Saccharomyces cerevisiae S288C: one gene and its partner. Changing the gene in region 1 together with any one later gene gives a genetic interaction. Each region holds a gene or a part of one and is shown on either strand. Other genes may lie near its edges.

Region 1 (3,041 bases):
GGACTTCTCGGAACACATGCTAAAGCTCCAGTCTCTATCCGTCTATTCTTTAATTTGCTCGTTTAAGAAAGAATAAAATGCCGTATACAGTTATTTCTTCCGTAAATAAATCTTCTTCAACATCCTTTCTTGAGAGCAGCCACACAAATCTAGAGGTGTCTGACTTAATGCAACACAAGGTCAATCTGAATTCAAAGCTGTGGCTGCATATTCATTAAACATATCTTTGAAGGATATCATTTTAGGTATTGCATTGAGTGGGCTTTTGAATCAAAGCCTAAAATGGGAGTATTATGAAAGCAGAGTAAAAATGTTCAGCACGTTGATCTTGAAAGCAGACGGAAAGTCTTATTAGATGAAATTAATGCTGAAATCTCGAAACTGTTCGCTCAGCTACCATGTGCATGTGTGTGGTGTTGGTATATTTTAGTATACTTCTTGATAAAGGTACCAAAGTACTGTATACACATGATAATAACTGGTTAGTCATCCTGGTGTTTTACTTCTTGGCATTCGGCTCGATCATGAGGATTTCGGGCCGAACCTGCTCCGAAGAAATGAAGAAATCTTTCGGCCAGGCATCATATCACAATGGGTTGCAGAATTTCTCGAAGGAATCACCTGTAGGAGTGAACCTCGAAAAAAAGAAAACACATATTTCATGCTGCATCATCCTTGCAACACAACGCTTCCTGCAGAAGTTTTCGAACAAAAGGCTTGGCAATCCTCACTTACACCCCACTCGCGAATCCACATTTTCACGTGAGCTTGCAACAGAGAATAATAGCGGAAACTTTCCCGTATTACTTAGATATCATATCTTCAGACAGCTAGATATCGAAAATGGAATTTTATTATGTCAAGTTCTGCAGGCGCTAATTATTGTTCAAGTAATGTTTTCGTGAGTCTAAAAGCTCGTACAATAGTTCTTTTTTTGGAACCCATTATGAAGCGGAGTGGATGAATAATACGGAATGAAAAGGGCGATAATGGCAAACAATTACGAGCAAAATTCGATGGATGCCGTATCACATTTGCGACAAAAAAATGATCAAAGATGGTAATAGAGTAAAATTTCACGAATGGAGGGCAGATACAAGAGCGAGATGCCAATAGATCGCAGATTAATGCAGCTGCATTTTCATCAGAAAGAGGTGCGCGTGAACTGTAGGAACAGTAGTGCAATTGGGAGTACGTTAACCACACATTTTGAAATCAAGAAGGAAAGTAGGCGCTGGAAATGACCCGAATCCTATAATCGGACAAGAAGGACATAGAAATCGGTATTTACAGTAAATATTCAAAAGACCTTCTACTACCGTGTGCAAAACAGGGAGTGGATACAAGTGGTTTGATCAAATGGAAGTATTTGATACTTCAGTTTCTCCGTTCCGTGTCCGTTCCCTTAGGTCGCGCTTAGTGCTCGAATTTCTTTCACTGCTTACTAATTCATTCGTTTACGTCTCAAATGATTAATAATGTGCTTCCTGCTAAAGGATAGAAACTTGGTGCTCTATATAAAGTACCTACAAAGGATACATGAATGGCAGAGGTTTCCTGATTTACAATGGAGGTGAAAAGATGAAACAAAAAATGATAATATATGACACACCCGCAGGGCCTTATCCGGCCCGAGTCCGCATTGCCTTGGCTGAGAAGAACATGCTATCAAGTGTGCAATTTGTGAGGATCAACCTCTGGAAGGGAGAGCACAAGAAGCCTGAATTTCTTGCCAAGAACTATTCAGGCACAGTGCCAGTGCTTGAACTTGATGACGGGACTTTAATCGCTGAATGCACAGCCATTACTGAATACATTGATGCACTTGATGGTACACCCACTCTTACCGGCAAAACACCGCTGGAAAAAGGCGTAATCCACATGATGAACAAACGCGCAGAGTTGGAACTGCTCGACCCTGTTAGTGTTTATTTTCACCATGCTACACCTGGATTGGGGCCTGAAGTCGAGCTTTACCAAAACAAAGAGTGGGGACTTCGCCAGCGCGACAAAGCCCTACATGGAATGCATTATTTTGATACCGTTCTCAGAGAACGCCCATATGTTGCTGGTGATTCATTCTCAATGGCTGACATCACAGTAATAGCTGGTCTAATATTTGCTGCAATTGTAAAACTACAAGTGCCGGAAGAGTGCGAGGCGCTTCGAGCTTGGTATAAGAGAATGCAACAGCGCCCCAGCGTGAAGAAACTGCTAGAAATCCGTTCAAAATCCTCGTAAAGTGGCTACTTGAGACAAGTTTTGCGTGGTACGTGGAAACTATATAAAAAGATCCAATCATGAAGCTATTCAAGAGGGTGCCATAGCTATATATAACTGATCGAAATTAGGGCTACAAAATTTAGGGGTTCTTCGCGGCGCCATTCTGTCAAGTAAAAAAATAGCTCAAGCAGTATTCTATAAAAGAATATATATACTATATATGTTAATTGTTTGACGGTGAAAGATTAAACATCAATATCATGATTCGTATTCCTTCCTTTTTATTCGTGATGTTGAGTAAGGTACAAAACCATACCAAACCACTGAAGACAATATCCTTACAGGTAGTTACATTTGCATCGATATTGCCGCGGTAGAGATTACTACTGAAATTCTTTGCTGCTTGCCGACTAGAAATTTAAGAAGATTTCAAATATGTTGGAGCTCACAAGGGGTCACTAAAGTTGGTGCAATAAAAAAAATTTAAGGAAACATGAAATAATGTTTGCAATAGAGAACTTCTAAGTCTGAGCTTGTGACACAAACAACTAATAAATTATGGTCACAGCTCATCCATTGGCCCAATGTAAGTTCTTCAAAATTACACTGTGATTGCGGTCCTACCAATGGCAGCCGTATGTAGAACAGGTCATGAATTTTCAAATATCAGCACCACCCAACGAGAAATATGGGATTACTACGCCATACTCAAAATATAATCACAGGAAGATTGACGTCTTGTATGCATAGGTGTGGGGCGACGGGAATCATCCGTTCAAGCACTAAGATACAAGGTACAAGTATACTATCAAGCCATT
Region 2 (3,455 bases), on another chromosome or scaffold:
AATTTATAGTTCCAAAATTTATGAATTAATGACAATGATACGTTTTTGTGGCGCGCGTCAATCGGCGATAATCAGCAACGCGTCTGACGCTGCTGCAGGAACCAACAAAAAAAGGATACTAAACCCTCTTGAGTCCTTGTGTCTTAACGACCGCATAGACGAACACCGTTGCAAAGAAGTCCAGTTATCTTCATTACGAAGTCTATTGTATGCTATGATTTTAAATAGAACCATAGGCAGCGAGACCGGCGTTTTTTCTTTTCTGCTCTTTTCTTTTCGTTACTTCGGAGAGGAAAGAGACTTATTTTACTGCTTCTTCTCCGTCTTTTTACTTAACATTACATATTTATTGGATTAGAACTTTTGTATAGGGGTAAACAATACTGAGGATATTCATAACTATCTTTTTTAGGTCTCCTTGGCTCTTTTAAGTAGAACAAAAAAATCTAGGACAGTTGCTTTGCCTTTTCAATGTCAGTTAAAAAAATAATGGAAACGTTAGTTCCCACCCAGAAAGACAACAAAAAAGTGTTTTCTTTTCGAAGTATTCCAAGATTTCGTTGTCATGGCATATCGGTACAATCTTTTGGTTGGAATGAATAAAATCAGTTATCGTCCCACCAATGGGAATAGAGCATATAATGTTATCTCAGGACAGCAGTGATGTCCAAGAAAGTAACTACGAGAGTTTTACTATACTACATATTATAAGGACAAATAGTTGCATAGCAACAAGCTTGGGGGATAAACATCAAGAGAATGCATTGAGTTACTACGCAGGCCTTAAAGTAAGGCGATTCCACGGCAGTAATTAGTTTAGATAACAACTTACTCTACTGCGAGCTCTTCTTAAAAGACGTGTCCTTTTAAGATTCAGAAGCATTTTCTTGGGTAGGGGTTTTTTGCGTTACTCTGTTTTTTGAGATCGTAATTCGACACATAAAACTCTCAGCTAGCCCACCCTTTGGGCAAGTTATACCTTTCTACTTTCGTCCAATCCATACATCGCCCAATTAGGATAAAAGTAAATAACATATTCGAGTTTTGTAAATATCCGAAAGGGGAAGACAAGGAAATATCTAGGCACCAAATCCCTTTTTGGAAATGCGAACCACGGGAATATGCAAAAAAAAAAAGAAAACAATCCCGCTTTTTCAAGATTTCAGGCCGATTTTGAGATTAAAGTTTGACAGCCTCAGTCTTAAAAACAAAACAGTATGACAGAACGATTCAAAGAAACTACGGACAAAGGATTTATGCTAAACTGGTCACGCCGTTATAGACAGCAGTAATGCATGGAAAATCCCATGGCTATTCTAATCGGGTTTAAACTTTTTTTTTTCAGCTGCGAATATCTCTTAGTGCAAATTGGTAAACAAGAGAGCTCACAACACACTAAATACGTTGTGTAACGATACATAGCCTTGCTTAGGTAAACGACAGATGCATGCCCATTTCGATAGGAAAATCTTGAATTTTAAGCCCGTTACCGTAAATGTCATTCGATACTGTTTACAGTTTAGTTTTAAAGCGGTAACATTCTTGTTAATTTAAAATGGATCAATTTTGTCACTCTACGAGGAAAATCAAGCGAAGTATTATTTAAACGCAACATTTCTTTGTGCCTTCCACACTTCAGCTATATTTGGAACTTAGGCGCGTTTAGGTGATAAGTTGTTCTGTAAATATGTTTGATTAGTTAAACAAGAGAAATATAAAATTAAGAAAAAAAAAATTTCAAAAACATGGATGAAATGCATTCTTCAGACACACTTTTGTTGCGAACACCGAAATCAAAAAAAAAAATTGGGCTTGTAATACCCAGTACACCAAGTAAAAAATGTAAATATTCATCAGGCTTTATAGCAGAAGACACTACGCCCTCCAAACGGTTTCGTTTATACCAAGCCAAATTTAAGACAAGTTCAAAGAATGTCAAAGCCCAAACTCTTAGCGTATCAATAAAAAAAAATCAAGGTGAAATCACCAATCCATTTATGACCGAAGGATATAATGATTACCGGAATATTGTCAGTCCTGGATTGAGTTTTGATAACGACTGCTTTTCAGAACATGAATTAGTTAGTCCATTGAGTGATATATCTTCGATAAACTCGACATCGCCTGATGTTGAAAAGATTGATTCTTTAGATCCTTTTGGCGTTGATTCTTTTGTCTGGAACTGTAAGCCGCTTGTTAATAAAGAAGCACTGGAGCTCCACCGAATGATTCATTCTTCGTTTCCGATGAGCCCACTGGAATCCAACAGTGATGTGCCACTTTTATTGCCTAAACTCAAAAAAAGGTTATCTCCAGTAAACAGATCGACCTTCAAGCCAACAAGGTACGAACCCTCTCACCGTCTATTGAAGCCCAAAAAATCAATTCTAACAGTACCAGCCAAATCTCTGAATCTCATAGTCAGTTCGTCGCGAGGCTCATTAAATGACGCTACCATCTTTGCCACCGAAATAAATTCTACTTTGAGCAATGAAGAAAACAAATTACCAGCAATTTCTAGTATTTGGGAGAAGCTCACAATTCCAGTAAACTCTTCAATTAAGGAGAAATACAAGAAGCTTAAAGACCAAATATATGGGCAAGCTAGTAATTTTGGCGAAGATGAAGATAATGAAGAAGACAATGAAGACGACCTTCCCGACGCGGCAGTAATAAGAGGTTACGAATTTCAGTCAGGAAGGCGCGATGAGCTGACGCAATGTAATGAACTACAGAGTACGAAGGACTACAAAAAAGTTCAGTGGGCAAAGGTTTTAGAACAATAACTAGGTTCTTTTTCTTCTAATTTGTTGAATTCTAAACAAAGGAGTTTTTTTTTATTATTTCTTAACAACTGGTCTTTTTAATTAAATGAAAAAAGATAACAGCATTATTGTGCTAAGTATTGTACTCTTTTTTAGAAGCTGGAGTAATCTAAAAAAAGCTAAACACCATTATTACTATTTTCCTTCCTCAAGTTGTTGTTTTGCAAGACTATTGCTATTATATTATTATTATGATCATCATTATTATCACCTGTTTTCGCTTTTCCTCTTTTTTTATATTATCTCCTATACTTCTTACTGTAACAAAATTTATGATAAACATTGTATAAAAACATTATAGACGACTATATATATGTGTGTGTGTGTATGTATATGTACCGTATAACGATTTTTAAAAGTATTTAATTCTTCACGCTTTTTCGTTATAAAGTCCTTTTAATGATCCTCTAAGCAATCAGCTGTGTTGCAGTTGGCAGCGTCGTCGATAAGACAAGTGGAACCTGAAATGCCAGTACCATATGTCTTTGGCCTTAATGAAAGCGGGTCATTTTGTAGATGATCACCTTGGGAGTCTCCGGCTCTTTCGGTTGAAGTAACCTCTCTGGTAATAAATTCAGGTTGCAAAGTAGCGGAGTGAATGCCATAGCGGTGAAGTTTTGATCTAACTAT

What was found.
Region 2: mutations in GTT2 (region 1) and SFG1 together harm fitness more than expected from each alone (negative genetic interaction), as found in Saccharomyces cerevisiae (one large-scale study listed by BioGRID).

Annotation. Positions count from the first base shown.
Region 1 is NC_001144.5:20,338-23,378, reverse strand, and holds GTT2 (glutathione transferase GTT2), read left to right. Parts: upstream 1-1,539; coding exon 1,540-2,241; downstream 2,242-3,041.
Region 2 is NC_001147.6:903,015-906,469, forward strand, and holds SFG1 (Sfg1p), read left to right. Parts: upstream 1-1,745; coding exon 1,746-2,786; downstream 2,787-3,455. Other genes in the region: YOR314W (uncharacterized protein), read left to right, coding at 29-358; metal cation transporter COT1, read right to left, coding at 3,222-3,455. UniProt on the Saccharomyces cerevisiae protein: Probable transcription factor required for superficial pseudohyphal development in response to nitrogen starvation.